Ovis aries: one gene and its partners. The protein of the gene in region 1 interacts with the protein of each later gene in a pairwise test. Links are inferred from orthologs where the notes say so. Each region holds a gene or a part of one and is shown in the gene's direction. Other genes may lie near its edges.

Region 1 (4,791 bases):
TGGACTGGTTGGATCTCCTTGCAGTCCAAGGGACTCTCAAGAGTCTTCTCCAACGCCACAGTTCAAAAGCATCAATTCTTTGGCGCTCAGCCTTCTTCACAGTCCAACTCTCACATCCATACATGACCACAGGAAAAACCATAGCCTTGACTAGATAGACCTTAGTCAGCAAAGTAATGCCTCTGCTTTTGAAAAGGATTATTATACCCCTTTTATAGTTAAGTAAACTGAGGTTCATGGCAGATAAATGACTCACTCAAGTTCCCACGGGTCCTGAATGGCAGGGGTGAGTCTCACTGCTGAGTCTGGCCTCAAAGTCTGTGTGTGACAACAGAGCAGCTGTAAAAGAGCTTCGGATTTGATGGAGCTTCCTAGCAGGCTGGGGGAAAAGGGAAACTGAACATATTGCCCAGTTCAGTTCAGTCGCTCAGTCGTATCAGACTCTTTGCGATCCCATGAATCGCAGCACACCAGGCCTCCCTGTCCATCGCCAACTCCCAGAATTCACCCAAACTCCTGTCCATCGAGTCAGTGATGCCATCCAGCCATCTCATCCTCTGTCATCCCCTTCTCCTCCTGCCCCCAATCCCTCCCAGCATCAGAGTCTTTTCCAATGAGTCAACTTTTCGCATGAGGTGGCCAGACTACTGGAGTTTCAGCTTTAGCATCTGTCTTTCCAAAGAACACCCAGGACTGATCTCCTTTAGAATGGACTGGTTGGATCTCCTTGCAGTCCAAGGGACTCTCTAGAGTCTTCTCCAACACCACAGTTCAAAAGCACCAATTCTTCAGCGCTCAGCTTTCTTCACAGTCCAACTCTCACATCCATACATGACCACTGGAAAAAACCATAGCCTTGACTAGATGGACCTTTGTTGGCAAAGTAATGTCTCTGCTTTTGAATATGCTGTCTAGGTTGATCATAACTTTCCTTCCAAGGAGTGAGAGTCTTTTAATTTCATGGCTGCATATTGCCCAGTGGATACCTAGATGAGAAAAAACTAGGTATTTCATTGAGGGGAGGCAAAGCCCTGCTTAGCACTGAATTAATTTTTCTTTGCTCAAGGAAGAGTTGGTGAAGGAGAGTTTATGGGATGGAATTGATGGGGCTCAGCTTGGACCATCTAAGTTGGATGATCCTTTTTTTAAAAAAAATTGTGTATGTATTTGGCTGTGCTAGGTCTTAGTTGCTGCTCACAGGATCTTTGTTCTTCATTGCAGCATGCAGAATCTTTAGTTGCAGCCTGTGGGATCTAGTTCCCTGGCCAGGGATTGAACCTGGGGCCCCTGCATTGGGACTGGGAATATTAGCCACTGGACCACGAGGGAAACCCCCTGAACGGCCCCTAAGTTTATAGGCAGGGAGGTTCTGTCCTCCAGTAAGCATCTTCATCTGTGTGTGTGTGTTTCTCTGTGTCACCGTCTTTCTCTTTTCACCCACCCTCTCATCCCTCTTTCTGCCTCCTTTGCCTCTATTCTGCCCTTGCCTACACTCGAAATGCAAAGAATCCCTACCACTCAAACTCTGCCGGTTTTAGGAAGTACTGCTACGTCAAGAGCCTGCGCACCAGACCCCAGCAAGACAGGACTTCCTCCCCAGGCTGTGCTGGGCGGGGCGAACGGGAAAGGGCCTGGTGTGTCTGAGGTGACACAGCCCTGCCTGAGCAGCCCGAGTGGCAGCGGGGTCAGCGGGCTGCGGGAGCGCAGGCCACTCTCCCCCAGGGGCTTCAGAATGGACTTGTGCCACCCAGGTAAGCACCTGGGCCGACCTGGCTGGGCCTCACTTTCCTGTTCTATAGTATGGGGGTAATAGTGCCTGCCTCACAGGAAGCAGCATGTATAAATAGATATAACACAGGTGGGACATGCAGAAGCAGGCGACAGACCTTGATGAGCTCAGGCTAGGCGCCAAGCTGTGTTGCAAGTACTGGGAGTCCAGCAAACCAAGCAGGCATGGCCCCTGCCCTAATGAGCTTACACTCCAGAGGAGACAGACAGTAAATATATGAATGTGCTGTCAGACGGTGACAAGCAGGATGAAGGACAGTAAGGTGAGATAAGGAAGATGGGAGAGGGTGGCCAAGAAGGCCTCAAGAGGAGGCACTGTTTGAGCAGAGACTTGTAGCAGAGAAGGGAGTGATCCATGTGAGTTTCCGGGGAAAGAACATTCCAGGCAAAGGAATCGTCAGTGCAAAGGCCCTGAGGTGGAATTGAGAAAGGTGGTTTGTGTTGAAGATGATGATGTTGGTGAGGATGATAACTGTCTGGGTGACATAATAACCCTGCAGCCCGTTTGGCCTCTGGTGGGCGATGATGGCCTTTGGGGAGGCTGAGGACACCAGCTTTGCCAGTGAAGGGACCGGCAGGGTTGAGCAGCAGGGGCTGTGGCTGAGAGTCTGCCTGGTAAGCAGGCAAGGAGGCTGAGCAGCTGGTATGAGAGCAGGGCCAGGCTGTGTTGCGTTGTGTATCTGTGATGCAGAAAGGATTGGGACTAAACCTCTGTGCCCTGCATCTCAGAATGTTCTAGCATGGCCTGGAACTCCAGAAGACAGACTGCCTGGAGCTGTCCAGTTCCCCAGGTCCAGATGACATGAACCCTGTTAGCAACAGAACCCTTTCTTCAAACAAAACCTAAGACAGAGCATTCTGATCCCGCCCACTGGGCCTCCCCTTGCCCCAAGGGTTCTGGGGAACACAGTTAGAGAACCACTGATCTGTTTCAACAGCCCTCCTTTACTTGTGTGCTCAGTTGCTAAGTCGTGTCTGACTCTTTTGTGACCCCATGGACTGTAGTCCGCCAGGCTCCTCTCTGTCCATGGGATGTTCCCAGGCAAGAATATTGGAGTGGGCTGCCATGTCCTCCTCCAGGGGATCTTCCCAACCCAGGGACTGAACCCATGTCTCCTGAGTCTCCTGCATTGGCAGGCGGGTTCTCTACCCCTGAGCCACCTGGGAAGCCCTCATTTACACATGGAACGAAAGGGGGGACACAGTCTTGCTGAGGCAGGATGACTCCACGCCTCCCGGCTGCCTGTTCAGCACTCTCACCGCAGCCCTTGTGCTTCTCCTGGGGGCTTTTGGGGCCCGGTGGCTCATGGAGTGTATGTCTTCAGTGAACACATCTTAGTGGCAACTAGGGGGGCAAGAGGAGCCCCAGGAGGAGCAGTGCCAGGCTCAAGGTCACTCAGCAGCTGCGAGGGTGACGGGAGACAGTGAATTCTTGCCCCCCAACTACCTGTCTTTGCACCATTATTCCTGGGGTCTTCAGACACAAAAATCTTTAGGATGGTTTGTTTCCACCACGCAAGGAGATTGTCCTCAGGAGACTGAAGCTCACAGAGGTGAACTGGAGGACAGGATGGAATTGTTCAAAGTCAGGCAGCCAATAAGTGGCAGAATAGGGACAAGATCTGAGAGGAGCGAGAGCCCCAGTTTAGCCTGGGCTGTGGGGGAGGGACAGGAGGGGCGGGGCCTCCCAGGGAGGCCAAGAGGTGAGTCTCTGCTTCAGGCTGGTCCTGGAAGGACAGGGATCCAGCGGAGTCACTGCAGGCAGTCTCTTGGGAGATCTGAGGATTCCATTGATCAGTTCGCCTATTCATTCGTTCATACAATAAGCAGTCCTCTGGTGTGCAGGTCCTGGGCTGTGCGATGCTGGAGATAGCAATGACCAGGCCACAAGCCCAGTCCTGAGGGAGCTGCTGGTCTGGCATGTGGGGCAGAGGAAGAAAAATCCTGCAGGACGGTGACCCAGGGCAGATGCGCAGAGGGGCACAGACCTGCAGCCTGGGAGGGAGACACTTTCCACCCAGGGCAAGGGCGATCTGGGAGGACTTCCTGGAGGAAATGAAGGGAAGAAAGGTCATTTCTCTGCTACCTAGACTGGGTCTTTATTGGCGCTCCTTCACAGCCTGGTGACTTTCCCTCTCTGAGCTCAGGTGTGTCATCTCTAAGTGGGCACCATCATCCCAGCAAGACCTAGGGAAGCGACCTGGTTCAGATCCCACCTCTGCACCAACCTGCCAGAGGTCACAATGGGCCTCTTCCTTCTGTGGGTTTCAGTTTCCCCACTCATACAATGGATGGGATGGTGGCGAAGGGGCTGCCTCCCCACCTCCAGCTGTGGGTGTTTGATACCCGCAGGTCCCCTCCCCCAGGTCTGCTGAAACGCTGAGCGGTCTGGGCAACAAAGCCCCGGTGTGACCAAAGGCAGCCGTGGGGCTGGTGCAGCAAGACTGCAGGTTAAAAATAGAGGCAGCTGGGCTGGGGAGGAAGCCACACGATGCGATGGGCGCACAGGGCCTCAGGGGCTGGGGCGAGTGTAGCTCTGCTGGCCGCCCCCCACCCCAGATCCCCTTGCTGGATTCAAGGCCCGCGGATCGCACCCCCTCCTGCCCTAGAAAGGGGAAGCGGGTCCAGCTGTCCTGGAAGTGGGGCTATGAGCAGATTTCTAAAAATATGCTGGGAAAGAGGAAGGACAAAGGGGAAGTAGAGAGGAGCTGGGGAGCTGGTTGGGGCGGCACCTGGGCACACTCAGCCGGCCTGGGCCTGGAGCGCAAGAGGCGGGGCGGGGGTGGGGGGACAGCCCAGCTTGGTGAGGAGGAGTCGTTGGCAAAGGCGGCCTTCCAGAGGTGTGGATTTACAGCCCAGTGAAGGGTAAACAGATCTCATGGCAGCGGCAGTTGTTACTAATATTTTAATATTCTTGTGTTTTTTATCGTTATTGTCACTATTTTTATTATTATTAAAAATCCATCTGCCTCGAGCTGCGCCAGTGCCTGAAACTTCGTCATC
Region 2 (4,481 bases), on another chromosome or scaffold:
CTACAGACGAAGAAACAGGTTCAGAGAGGTGTAAGAGGTGGACTCAGTCACATAGCAAGTGGAACTGATTTTTTTTAATTGACACATAGCTGATTTACAATGTGTTGATTTCAAGTGTACAGCAAAGCGATTCTGATAAATACAGAATATAAGAATATATATATTCAGACTCTTTTTTCCTTACAAGTTATTATAAAATATCAAGTTTAGTTTTCTGTGCTATATAATAGGTCCTTGCTAGTTATCTGTTGTATACATAGCCACATGTATGTTAATTCTAAACTCACGTGAAACTGATTCTGGCTGATTCCAAAGTCCTGGGTGTTCCCTGGCCTGGGATGATAATGATGATGATAACTGCAGACACTTAGTATGTGTCCGACATTGTTCTAAAAGAAAAGCTCAACCTGGGCTTCTCATCCCATCAACTTGGATGGGAAAAAAATTATATATTTATTTCCACTGACCTCTAACCAAAATTTACCATCTCCTTCTTTATAGATTGAAGTATTAGCAGTATCTGTGGTTTTTGCCACCAGTAGATATCAAATTGTAGTTATCACAAGTATCTCAAAACGTTACTTATGCTCATTAAAGATTTCAAAATGCTGATAGTTATTAACCCACTGCTAAGTCACACTCTTTCAGACGCTCCTAAAACAGAGCTGCCATTGACTGTGGCCAGTAGAGGGTTAGTGGCCAAATGGTGAATCCACCTGCTCTTGCGTTATGACTCAGATTCTCAGTCTCTCACACGCCCTATCTGTAGTTGTTTGCTGACCAATAGGTGTGAGGAGGTGAGTCAGAGACCACCCCCACAATTCAGTGTTATTCATGCTGAGTAACAATACACTGATACCACTAGAAAAGGAAATTTTAATTTGCCAGTCCTGTTAGTGATACATATTAAATACATATTACTATATGTACTGATAAATGCATATTACTATATCATAAATTTGTGGGTTTTAACATATTTTGATAGTAATTGTCCTCGCAATCTTCAGCATTTTGCTTTTAAAAGCAATGTTCTGAGAAAAGGTCTAGGGTTCCCACCAGACCGTCAAAAGGGTCCACAGTGCAAAAAAAAAGAGGGGTCCGGAAACTAGTTCTAAAGGTTTTAGAGCTATTAATTCAGGTACTCCGCACAGCCCTCTGAAGTAAACGCTAATACCCATTCTACAGACAGGGAAATTGAGGCCCGGTGGGTCGGTTTAGGCCTTGTCACACAAGGTAAGAAGCTGCAGCGTTGGGGTTTGGATCCAGGCTGTGGCTTCCTAACCTTCTGTGCCTCGCTGCTGTGATCACTGCTCACTTTTTGGTGAAGGCCGGCCAGCCGGAAGGTCAGGTCGCATCCTGCCATTTGAGGCCAGTTTTGGGCGGGGATCCCAGGCCAGCTCCGAGGTCATCCGTGTCACACACCAGTGGCACCGCCCCCAGGTTTGGGATGCCTGAGGGCGGGCAGGAGATGGAGAGGCCAATGGCTGTGAGAGCGCCTCACCTGGCCTGCTTCCTGGGCCCAGGTATGCTAGTGGCTCCGCCCCCGGCCCTGCCCAGCCCCGCCCCAGGTCGGGGCTCCGGGAGCGGAAATTCCTGCGCGGGCGAGGCGGAGCGGGTGCCGTCCGAGAGGCCGAACTTGACCATGGAGCCAGTGGCGACCTGGACCCCCAGGAAGGTGGCGGCTTGGCTGAGAGGTGGGTGGGGCCGGGGCAGTGCTGGGCCTGAGGGGCCTGGGCCGGGGAGAGCGGAAGCAAGAAGGACCTGCCGAGTTTGTCGGTCGGTTTGTCCGTCCGCAAGTATTTACAGAGCGTCTGCCGTGAACCCGGCGGAAAGATAGTCGAGATGACTCCGGTGGGGTCCCCCGAGGACCTAGAAGGGGTCTGCCTTCCCCTCAATAGCCCAGGCAGTGGTTCTGTAATGAAAACAGAAGGTGTCGCTCCAGCTGACCGCCCGCAGTGTATCTCATCTTCCCTCTGCCCACGGGGCGCAGTGGGCTGTAATTCATCCCACTTTTCAGATGCTGAACACTCTGCACTGAGGCAACAAGTGATCTGCCCAGGCTTTGGACTAGGGCCTGCCCGTGGTGTCTTTTCCCTCCCCCCACCCCGAGGCTCCCAGTGAGAGCAGAAGCCCAGGCCCAACTGGAGGGGGTTGGTACAGCCCCTTCTGAGACCTGCAGGGAGGATGAGCCCAGATGGGTGGGAAAGGGCCCAGAGTGCCAGGGGACTCAGAGAAGTGTAGATGGTCTGCTGTGGAGCCGGGAGCTGGGAGGTGAGGACCACATTCCTCCCACAGGCGGAGCCAGAGTTGGAGGGGGGCAACTGGAGTCATCTGGGGACAGACTCAGGATGACCATCCCCGGGAGGAGCAGGGATTCAGGCCTGGAGTCAGTCTCCCAGATTGAATTCCAGGCCCAGCCCCTCTGCTCATCAGTTCTGTGGCCACAAGTCTCCATTTCCCTATCCACAAAATGGGAAAGGCAGTTCTGATGTCTTGAGGTTGGACCAAATAAGACAATTGTGATGAGGGCCTGGCTCAGCGTCAGGATCTGTTGGGAGGGAGACAACACAGCATATTCACCGAGCATGGGAAGGGAAGTGCCTGAGGCCCACGGCTATGGAGTAAAAGCTCCTGAACTCCTAGTCAAGGGCTCCTGATGGCACACAGGGGATGGGGGAAGAGCTATTGGTCACACACACACACACCGCGTAAAGAACTCTGGCTTGGAATGGCAGGGGTTCCTTCAAAGAGGGAGAAAGCTAACTGTTAACCTCTATGTATGTCTTTTCCCATCTGTAAAATGGGAATAACAATATCTGTACTTTCTAGATTTGGTGAAAAGTGTTAATGTGTATAAAGACCTTTAATTTTTCCTAGCACATAGTATTTATTTTTGAGTGTCTGCCTTATGCCAGGCCTCGGCCAGAATTAGAGATGAACACTTGTTTTAAGGCCCAGTCCTTGCTCGTGTTCGAGTAGGAGAGGTTGGTGCTCTGGTGCAGGGGTCTGTGGAGGCACAGGGGGCAGTGAGTGCAGCAAGAGGCCCCAGCCCAGCCTGGGGAGTTGTGGAAGGCTTCCTGGAGGAAGTTAGATGACCAAGGACATGAGGGAGCTGGAAAAGCAGTTCAGGCAGAAGGAAAGACACCTTCGGGGAGCGTGAAGCAAAAGCAAAAGAGCCTGCCGAGAGCTGCAGGGAGTTAGTGCTCTGGATCTAGAGTGTTGAGCTTGACAGGCTATGCCAAGAGGGGAGACTGGAGAGGCAGGTGGTGGCCGGATCGTACAGGGCCTTGCAGATCATGGTAGAGAGTCTGGCAACACATAGTATGGGGGCTGTTATTGACTGAACCAAGGGAGTTGGTCAAGCGTTTGACATGTGGCATGTCATTTAACAGACATGATTAGAAGTGACGTGTTTTTATTTTCCCCATTTTTTTAGGTGGAAACAGGCACAGAGTAATTCAGTTACTTGCTCAGTTGCTATCACTCAGGTCTCCCTGACTTCAAAGCCACATCAATCATGACTTGCCCAAGCATCAGAACCCCTGCAGGATTTGTTAAAAAACACATTGCCGGGCCCTGCCCCTGAGTTCACGCCACTCGGCTTGCAGGATCTTATTAATAGTTCCCAGACCAGGGATTAAACTCAGGCCCCTGCAGTGAAAGCTCAGAATCCTAACCGTAGTCCCAAATTGACTGTACATTCTATCCCCCAAACTGATTTATAAATAGCTTATACCTTTGGACCACCTTCACCCATTTCCCCCACTCCCTGCTTCTTGCCTCTGGCAATCATCAGTCTGTTCCCTGTTTCTAAGAGTTTGCATTTTTTGGATTCTGTATATGAGATAATACAGTGTTTGTCTTTCTCTGATTGATTTCACTTAGCATAATACCCTCAAGGTCTATCCATGTTGCAAATGGCACGTCCTTCTTCCTGGATGAGTATTTGTGCGTGTGTGCCCGTGTGCGGGTGTGTGACATTTTCTTTACCCATTCATCTGTCAGTGGACACTGAGGTTGTTTCCATGTCCTGCCTGTTTTTCTTTTTTATGGCCACACCGCATGACTCATGGGATCTTAGTTCCCCGACTGGGATCAAACCCAGGCCATGGCAATGAAAGCACTGAATCCTAACCACTGGGCCACCAGGGAATTTCCAGAATTTGCATTTCTAACAAGTCCTCTGATGAGGCTGCTGCTGCTGCTGCTGGTCGGGGGAAGCATCCTTTGAGAACCGCTGTCCTGTGTGATCCTACTTCTCAACTCAGTAGTAGCCTTATCTGTGAAATGGGCAGGACAGAACACAGCCTTGGTCTCAGGGTTGGCATTAGGAGAAGGGCTCTTCCACTGACCGGAAAGGCCTTGACAACCCCCTGGGTCCCCCGCGCTGACCCCTGCTCTCCCTCCAGGCCTGGACGATTCCCTGCAGGACTACTGCTTTGAGGACTGGGAGCTGCCTGGCAAGTACCTGCTACAGCTTT
Region 3 (4,672 bases), on another chromosome or scaffold:
CGGCCTCGCCAGGCCGACGGCGCGCCTGGCCGCGCGGCGTCGCCTGGAGACGGCCCTGGCGGCGCAGTGTTTCTGTAAACAGCCGCTTCCCTGTTACTATCTATAGCAGGATCGCCTGGCTCCGGGGTGCGGCGGCGGGAGGCAGGTCGGCTGTCCCGCTCCCCGCGAGTCCCAAAGGATCCGCCCGCTGCCCTCATCCCGCCTCGCCCCTCTCCGGGTGCCCATTGTGCCCAACCCCCAACCCCGGCCCGAAGAGTGGGGGAAGGGACATAGGGACCTGTGTCTCTGCGGGGACCTGCGACTTCGCGTCCCGGAGGTGGCTGGCGCGCAGAGATTGAGCCGGGGGCAGTGTGACCCCGGCTGTCCTTTGCATCTGAGCAGGAGGCTAGAGGCGTCTGGGGGTGCTTAGCGCACTCCAAAGCACCTTGACCTGCCCACCAGCACCCCCCCACCACCCCAAAGGCCTGTTTTCCAGGCCACCGAGCGGTGCCTGAGATACCAGCCTCCGAAGATTCCGGCCTGGGCGCTGCTGGGCACGGTCCTTCCAGGCGCCCCCGGTCCAACCCCCCTCCCCCTTCCAAGTCCGCGCTGGAAAATCACCGGCTTTGGGCTCCCAATAACCAGCTTCCTGGGGCGCCGAACCACCCCCACCTCCCCAGCAAGGACTTGTGCTGCCCCAAGTGCTCGCTCCATCCGGTGCTCCGAACTGATGACCTTGTCCACAGAACAACCCCCGCCCCCCCAACACGCCCCGGGGCCCGAGCTCAGAACCAGGCAAACGAATCCTTCAGACATCCTTGTTGAGAGATTCTGCACGATGTTTATTGGCTAGTTTCTCAGGGGTTTGACAGCAACAGTAACATCTCATCTACGGCCAAGAAAAAAAAAAAAAAACAGCAAAAACAAAGCGCCTATCTCCTTAAAAGCAAAACAAACAAACAAAACATATAGAATAAAAAGTACCCAGCATCGTAGATAAAGTAGGTTATCGTATTGTCTTATTTTGGATCCTTCCAAACCGCAGGAACAATCCTAGTAAAGCTGGAGTCCGGGGAGCTTGAGGTGAGGGGTTGAGGGTCCGTTTCCAGAGCTTGCACTGAATTAGGGCTAGAATGGGGAGTGAGGGTAGAGGCGCATTCCTTCGGGGGCCGAGGCTTAACCTGCTTGGCTGCGTGTACCTATGTCGCCTATAACCTGAGCCTCATAACTCTTTCCCGGGTTTCCGTATAGAAGTAAAAGGGCGTCCCCGCCTTCGCCAACCCCATCCTCCCCCAGCCCCGGAACAAGGGTCCGCATTGAACCAGGTGCGAATGTTCGCTCGCCTTCGCCTCCCCTCCCCCCGGCCGCGGCCCCCGCCTCCCCCCGGCGCTGCACCCTCGGTGTTGGCTGCAGCCCGCGAGCAGTTCCCGTCAATCCCTCCCTCCCCTTTACACAGGATGTCCATATTAGGACATCTGCGTCAGCAGGTTTCCACGGCCGTCCGCTGCAGTCGTGGGGGGATCCATCCCCGCGGCCCCTTATCTCGGCAGCTCCACGCGACCCTAGGAACCACGGGAAGACAGGCCGACAAGATCAAGAAACTCGACAGCGCGGGGAACTGGGGGCGCTGCGAGGGCGGCGGAGGCGGCAAATGGGGACCCTAGAAGTAGCCGGGCCCGTGCGCCACCCCTCGGGAGCCGCAATGGTTGCGCCCAGTGACGTGTTGGGCTCATTCATAAAATGCTGTTATAAAAGCGGTGGCTGCGGCGCCTAGTACTCCAACCGCATCTGCAGCGAGCAAGCTTAAGGAGCTGACACAGAGCCTGCGGCGCAGCGAGCGAGCTAGCGAGCGACCGCGCACACCTACCCAGCTCTGCCCGGCAGCTCGCACCTGCCTCCGCCTCTGCGCCCCTCGCCCGGCTTTGACTGCTCGCGATCATGATGTTCTCTGGCTTCAACGCCGACTACGAGGCGTCCTCCTCCCGCTGCAGCAGCGCCTCCCCGGCCGGGGACAGTCTCTCCTACTACCATTCACCGGCCGACTCCTTCTCCAGCATGGGTTCTCCCGTCAATGCGCAGGTGAGGCTGGCTCCGCGCCTCCGCGGGGCCGGGGGGTGGAGGGGTCACCGGAGAGGAATCACCAAGGCGAGATGCTCGGGAAGACGAGTCCGGGACTCCTTTCGCCGGGGGCAGGGAGGGAGGCTTGCCGCGGCCCGGAGCCTCCCTCTCTCGGGAGCTTTTCCGAACTTTGTTCGGAGCGGCCCGCGAGCTTGTCATCAGAAGAATTGCTTCTTCTGTCCCGCGGCAGTCTCTTTCTGAGCTGTGCCCCCCGGCGCGCGCTCGCTGACTGATCTCTGACATTAGCTGGGGCCAAAATGTCCCAAAGCAAAAGACTAGCGAAGTAGAGCCTGGCGCCTCCGGGGGGAGGCGGCCCAAAGCGGCAATCCACACCCCCCCCCCCCTCCGCCACCCCTCCCCTCGCAGCCTGGAGCAGGAAAGGAGGGGTAGGGGAGGAGGGTGAAGCAGGCGGGTGTGTAAGGCAGTTTCATTGATAAAAAGCGAGTTCATTCAGGAGACTCCGGAGCGGCGCCTGCGTCAGCGCGGACGTCAGAGATATTTATAACAAACCCCCTTTCAAGAGAGTGATGCTGAAGGGATAACGGGAACGCAGCAGCAGGATGGAGGAGAAAGGCACTGCGCTGCGGAATTCTTGGGAATAAAGCGGGGAGACCTTTCATTCCCGTTGACCGGCGTGTATAAAGACGCGAGCTGTCCACTGCCGGAGGGCTTCTCCTGCCTCTCTCCCTGCTGCCTGCGGCACTGGGAACTCTGCTCATCCCCACCTGCTCGCTCACGTCAGTTTCCTCCTCTTTCATTCTAGGACTACTGCACCGATCTGGCCGTTTCCAGTGCCAACTTCATCCCAACAGTGACTGCCATCTCGACCAGCCCTGACCTACAATGGCTAGTGCAGCCCACCCTGGTCTCCTCCGTGGCCCCGTCCCAGACCAGAGCCCCCCACCCCTATGGAGTCCCTACTCCCTCAGCTGGGGCTTACTCCAGGGCCGGAGTTATGAAAACCATGACGGGAGGCAGAGCTCAGAGCATTGGCCGGAGGGGCAAGGTAGAACAGGTGAGAGTTCTTGGCACCTTCTGAGGGGGAGGCGCGGGTCGACATTGTGGAGATGGGCAGCATAGGGGTCAGAGTGAAGCCACTGATGCATTGACTGGACACCCCAAATGGGAATCCCTGGCTCCAAGCCCTTTCCATCCAAGTCAGACTCTGATAGTCTCACCCTAAGAAATGCCCTGATGTATAGTTTCTTCCCTTGTAGTCTGGGTTCTTCTTGGCTCTTTCTGAGATTCTTATTTTAAATGCAAGTCACACCCAGCTTGCAACTGCAGGTTAGAAATGGCTTCACAGAAGAGGTGCCAGGAGCTAGGAAGCTGCAGGAGCTGGTTTCCCTGGGGTGGGTGAATGAAGCTAATGGCAGACACTGTTACTGAATGCTGCTCTTTTTTCCCCTCCCCAGTTGTCCCCAGAAGAAGAAGAGAAAAGGAGAATCCGAAGGGAAAGGAATAAGATGGCTGCAGCCAAATGCCGGAACCGGAGGAGAGAGCTGACTGACACCCTCCAAGCGGTAGGTTGAACCCATGGGTCACTTCTTTTTAAAACTTAAGGGGAAACTTGGAGACCAGACAAAAGGGATCTGTGTCCTTGAGTCAGACCATCTCTTATGCTTTCCTTTGCTCTCTCTTTCCAGGAGACAGACCAACTAGAAGATGAGAAGTCGGCTTTGCAGACAGAGATTGCCAATCTGCTGAAGGAGAAGGAAAAACTTGAGTTCATCCTAGCGGCTCACCGACCTGCCTGCAAGATCCCTGACGACCTGGGCTTCCCAGAAGAGATGTCTGTGGCTTCCCTTGATCTGAGTGGGGGCCTGCCTGAGGCTGCCACCCCTGAATCTGAGGAGGCCTTCACCCTGCCCCTCCTCAATGACCCTGAGCCCAAGCCCTCAGTGGAGCCCGTCAAGAGTGTCGGCAGCATGGAGCTGAAGGCTGAGCCCTTTGATGACTTCATGTTCCCAGTGTCATCCAGGCCCAGCGGCTCGGAGACCGCCCGCTCTGTGCCAGACATGGACCTGTCTGGTTCCTTCTATGCAGCAGACTGGGAGCCCCTGCATGGTGGCTCCCTGGGGATGGGGCCAATGGCCACGGAGCTGGAGCCCCTGTGCACCCCAGTGGTCACCTGTACTCCCAGCTGCACTACTTACACGTCTTCCTTCGTCTTCACCTACCCCGAGGCTGACTCCTTCCCCAGCTGTGCGGCTGCCCACCGCAAGGGCAGCAGCAGCAACGAGCCTTCCTCTGACTCGCTCAGCTCACCCACACTGCTGGCCCTGTGAGCGGGCAGAGAGGGGAGGCAGTGGGCGTGCACGTGGCCACTGCCTGAGTTGGCGCAATACAGAGAGGAGAAACACGTCTTCCCTCGAGGGTTCCCGTAGACCTAGGGAGGACCTTATCTGTGCGTGAAACACACCAGGCTGTGGGCCTCAAGGACTTGCAAGCGAGCATCCCCGTGTGGACTCAAGTCCTTACCTCTTCTGGAGATGTAGCAAAACGCATGGAGTGTGTATTGTTCCCAGTGACACATCTGAGAGCTGGTAGTTAGTAGCATGTGGAGCCAGGCCTG
Region 4 (4,611 bases), on another chromosome or scaffold:
CTCTCACATCCATACATGACCACTGGAAAAACCATAGCTTTGACTAGATGGACTTTTGTTGGCAAAGTAATGTCTCTGCTTTTTAATATGCTGTCTTGGTTTGTCATAGCTTTTCTTCCAAGGAGCAAGTGTCTTTTAATTTCATGGCTGGAGTCACTGTCCACAGTGATCTTGGAGCCCAAGAAAATAAAGTCTGTCACTCTTTCCATTGTTTCCCCATCCGTTTGCCACCCCCAAAGAAAAGATTGGCAGTTTTATGGCCCCTGAGGTGCATGTAGGTATGTGGGAGGAGGGCCAGGAATAGACTGGCCCTAACTGAGTAATGGGGATTTCCCTACCCCCCTTCATAATGAGGCCTCTAGCAGAGGCCCCAGAAGAGAACCCTGCCCCCAGGCCTCAGGTAAAATGACTCTGGAATGTAAATATGCCACAGAGCAGGACTGACAGGGAGCCTGGGACCTTGACCACCACTCCCCTCAGATGCTGTGGGGTCCTGCTGTCACCAAGTCTGGTGCGGGGAAGGCAGTATCCCTGTGAAGCCTTCCAGGGAGAGCCTTCATAATTGCCTGTGATCAGGTCTAAAAGGTGACACATGGGGATTTAAGAGGAGCTGGACTCCTCATTCTCATCCTCCTTCACTCTCACTTATTTGCTCTGATGAGGCCAGCCACCATGTCCTGAACCGACTGAAGGGAGACCCACGGGGTAACAGCTGGCACTGAATCGAGATCATCAATCCTATTGCCCTTGAGAAACTGAATCGTACCAACAATCACGTGGGTGAGTTTGGAGGCGTTTCTTTTCCTTGAGATGATTACAGTCTCTGCTGACTCCTTGGCTGTAACCTTGTGGAGACTCCAGCTAAGCTGGGTCCAGATTCCCGGCACTCAGAAACTAAGACGTAATAGGTGTCTGTTGTTTTCAGCCTCTAAGTGCTGGGGTCGTCCGTTACACAGCGATAGATAACTAATATATGTGCTAAGGATCTAGTGACCACATTTTGGGAAACTGCATGGTCGTGAGCCTGTTTCAAATGACTTGATTCCTTTTCATTGAAAGTGGGCCATAAGTACAGTGACATTATGTTCTTTCCTCAAGAAGGTTTAAGGAGACAAGATGCTGGTATTGAAAACGAGAAGTCTGAGGGCAGGCATTTATTGATGGTGAGTTCCGGTCTCCCTAATTTTCCCCTGTCATTTGCCTTTTCGAGCATGTGAAATGAAAGTTTTAAAGTTAGAGAATCTATTAATTATGCTGTAGGAGAAAGGCAGGCTGACTTATTTTTAACATAAGATACTTTCTGCACATTTTTCTGTGTCATCTATTTAGGAGTAATCCGAACACTAGGAGGTGAGAAAGAAGGGAAATGCAAGAGAACATTGAGCCTAAGAGAGGCTGATGATAAAAATGTGGATTTCAACTAAACCCACCAGGAACAGCTCTGCAAATGACCTCACCCCACCCCACCCCACCCTCGCCTGCAAATAAACATCTTTGCCTCCAAAATGAGAATGCAAAACGATGTACTGTTTCCCACGTGCGTCCTGGAAATGAACATACTGAATAGTGTTTAGTGATCAATGGAGTCTGACAGAGGGGACGTAACTAATTTACATGAATTGTGTTGTGTGTTTTGGAATCAAGGAAGGCTTATTAACAATAAGAAGGAAGAACAATGAGATTGGGGAAGTAGAGATGACACTTCCTCTTCTTTTGAAAGAGCTCTTTTCTCTGGCCAGCTTCTAATGGTCGTCCTGTGGAGCTGCCTGAACTGTGGCTGCATATGGAGGAATCCTCAACCTTGACCTCAGGGTATTATGAATTTTCTGAAATCAGGCATAAAGAGCTGGTGCTTGGATTTGCTCTCTTTTTATTGCATGTAAGTAAAACCACTCCTTGGCTGACGTATAAAGTCATTGCTTGACATCTCAAGATGGTGAAGCAATGGATATTCTGGCACTCTCTTTAAAATAGTGAGCTGTGAGTAAGATGTGACTCTTGGGATATCATGTTTGCTCAGCTCTTCATAAACTTGCTGTTGGGAAGTCCAGTACTACAGACACTGTTAGAGTTTTGAAGGAGAGAACCGTGAACTCTCCTTTCTTCTATTTCTATAGTAGATGTTGTATTGATAACTGCTGGGACTGCAGACCATGATTTAGAAAAACTCAGTTCCTCAAGTGTGTGGGTCCTGAGGAATTCATCTGGGAAAACACTCTGGGGCCAGCCTCTTTTGAGAAGGTGTGTTCTTTGTAGAGAATCCTCCTTTGTATGCAGACTGCTGGAGGGGATTTTACTTTTAGATAAAAAGACAGGCTTGATAAGATATCTCTGTATGAAATGGGAACTTTGGTAATGTTGGTTCAGAGGTTTTTACCCAGGACGTCTAGAACATTTGGTTTTCTTTGCTTGTGAATATGTGAAAGAAACTTAATTGTAAGAGACAGGATTATAAGTCACTAAGGCATTACTGACTGTAGTAGTGGAATTTATTAGTATGTAGGGGCCTGTGTGTTCTTAGGCGTCGTATAGTCATACACAGACTCGGATTCCTCTACAGCTAATTAAAATTTGACTTGGAAATAGAAACAGAAAGAACATAGGTTTCCTTCTGCGCACATCATGCAAGTGAGAAGAAAAAGGACTTCAGTTTGTATATTTGTTGGTATACTTATTCTTTATTTTTAAACGTCCCTCTCCTCTCTTTATTTCTCAAGTATCTTCTCTGAAGACAGTCCATGTGTGAACTCTTATAGGCAAGTTGCATTAAGCAGTATGGAAATAGGAAGTTCTTTCCTGTGGTGGCTTGCTGTGGCAATAAGTGATAAAAAGTTACTTCATGACTATTGCCTGAGACTTTCCTTTTTACTCGCGTATCCTTTTTGAGCAGTTCACTTCTGCTTTCCATCTGCTGTGGAGGCCAGGCAGAATGAGTTGGGAACTCAAGCAAGTTTAATGGGGTAAATGCTGTGTGAGAGTGAAGAAAATTCTATAAGCTCTTTGAGATTGAAGAAAATCCTACAAAGGGAAAAATTACTGAATTCTTCAGTGCTCAGAACAGTGCCTGTCCCATACTAAGCTCTCAGTCAGTGTTTGTGCAATGGATGAATGATTGAATGGGATTGTTCATAAAATGAGTGTAGTCTGGCAGTGTTTGCCTTATCTCTATGACTCAGGCACATAAGGAAGTCTAGGTTGGAAAAGGTCAGAGTGAAGCAGGAGAGGAGAATGTGAAGGTGGGAAGAGAAGAAAGGGTATATAGAAAAGAGATGATAAGGAACCTTAAGAGTGGCATTATGGTGGCCTGTGTGGAGGTGCAGGGGGCATGGAAGTGGTGGTGGTGAAGGTGGTGGTGACGTAGAGTCTGAGCTGCTGGTAGAGATGATGGTCGAGGTAGTGGTAGAGCAGTGATGATGAAGGTGATGCGGAGGTGGTGGTGGAGCTGATGATGGAAATGTGTGCTGAAAATGATGATGATGGAAGTGGTGGAGATGCTGGAGGTGGTGGTGGAGATGCTGGAGGTGGTGGAGATGCTGGAGGTGGTGGTGGAGATGCTGGAGGTGGTGGAGATGCTGGAGGTGGTGGAGATGCTGGAGGTGGTGGAGATGCTGGAGGTGGTGGTGGAGATGCTGGAGGTGGTGGTGGAGATGCTGGAGGTGGTGGTAGAGATCCTGGAGGTGGTGGAGATGCTGGAGGTGGTGGTGGAGATCCTGGAGGTGGTGATGGAGATGCTGGAGGTGGTGGTGGAGATGCTGGAGGTGGTGGTGGAGGGATGATGGAGGACATGATAGAGCTGATGATGGAGATAGTGTTGAAAGTGGTGATAATGGAGAGAGGTGTTGGTGAAGGTGATGGTAAAGATCCATAGATGTGATGGTAGAGATGATAGTGGTGGTGATGGAGGTGGCGGTGGAAGAAGTCGTGAAGTGGAGGTGATGATGGGAGGTAGTGTGATGTAGTCGGGAAACAGTTTGGGGATTAGACACAGCTGTTCAAAGTCTGTATCCACCACTTACTAGCTCTATGACCTCTGAACCTTCAAAGTGATGATTATAATAAAATGAGCTTTTTCTGCTGTCATGTAAGGATCAGAAATGCAGTGGCATAGTGCCTGCCATCTCATAGATCTTTACCAAATGGCAGTTGACAACATATTTCCTTCAGTTTTTAAAACTCTATGGTCACACTTACAAAGTTAATCACCAATTTATCTTTTCTTTATTTTTTGCTGTTTTCTAAATTTCACAAAATAAGCATGATTCATGAATTATTGATTAAAAATAAATGTTATATGCCTAGTTTTCAAGATTGTTAAATACATGATAGTGTATTAAAAAGACCATCAATATAATGATGTTTATGAAATATTGTGATATACTAAGATTAAATTAATAAAAAGAAGAAACAACTTTCAGCTAAGTAAAACACTGCAGAGAAACAAGACTGAGGTACATATGTTAATACATTAACATATAATTAATTTGGTTTATGGGCTTCCCGCATAGCTCAGTCAGTAAAGAACTTGCCAGCAATGCACTAGACCCAGGTTCGATTCTTGGGTCAGGAAGATCGCCTGGAGAAGGAAATGGCAACCCACTCCAGTATTCTTGC

What was found.
Region 2: the proteins of CYTH4 (region 1) and CNKSR1 interact in binary tests that used the Homo sapiens proteins (3 or more experiments, as listed by UniProt). The two-hybrid records come from large-scale screens. The link is inferred for Ovis aries from reciprocal best matches to the Homo sapiens genes CYTH4 and CNKSR1.
Region 3: the proteins of CYTH4 (region 1) and FOS interact in a two-hybrid assay, tested with the Homo sapiens proteins (2 studies listed by BioGRID and IntAct). The two-hybrid records come from large-scale screens. The link is inferred for Ovis aries from reciprocal best matches to the Homo sapiens genes CYTH4 and FOS.
Region 4: the proteins of CYTH4 (region 1) and IPCEF1 interact in binary tests that used the Homo sapiens proteins (3 or more experiments, as listed by UniProt). The link is inferred for Ovis aries from reciprocal best matches to the Homo sapiens genes CYTH4 and IPCEF1.

Annotation. Positions count from the first base shown.
Region 1 is NC_056056.1:181,325,296-181,330,086, forward strand, and holds the start of CYTH4 (cytohesin-4), read left to right. Parts: upstream 1-1,647; 5' UTR 1,648-1,732; coding exon 1,733-1,751; intron 1,752-4,763; exon of another isoform or gene 4,764-4,791. UniProt on the Homo sapiens protein: Promotes guanine-nucleotide exchange on ARF1 and ARF5. Promotes the activation of ARF factors through replacement of GDP with GTP.
Region 2 is NC_056055.1:240,657,151-240,661,631, reverse strand, and holds the start of CNKSR1 (connector enhancer of kinase suppressor of ras 1), read left to right. Parts: upstream 1-1,603; 5' UTR 1,604-1,642; coding exon 1,643-1,694; intron 1,695-4,409; coding exon 4,410-4,481. UniProt on the Homo sapiens protein: May function as an adapter protein or regulator of Ras signaling pathways.
Region 3 is NC_056060.1:84,569,696-84,574,367, forward strand, and holds the start of FOS (protein c-Fos), read left to right. Parts: upstream 1-1,794; 5' UTR 1,795-1,917; coding exon 1,918-2,058; intron 2,059-2,860; coding exon 2,861-3,112; intron 3,113-3,512; coding exon 3,513-3,620; intron 3,621-3,743; coding exon 3,744-4,385; 3' UTR 4,386-4,672. UniProt on the Homo sapiens protein: Nuclear phosphoprotein which forms a tight but non-covalently linked complex with the JUN/AP-1 transcription factor. In the heterodimer, FOS and JUN/AP-1 basic regions each seems to interact with symmetrical DNA half sites.
Region 4 is NC_056061.1:78,802,274-78,806,884, reverse strand, and holds the start of IPCEF1 (interactor protein for cytohesin exchange factors 1), read left to right. Parts: upstream 1-1,733; 5' UTR 1,734-1,879; intron 1,880-4,611. UniProt on the Homo sapiens protein: Enhances the promotion of guanine-nucleotide exchange by PSCD2 on ARF6 in a concentration-dependent manner.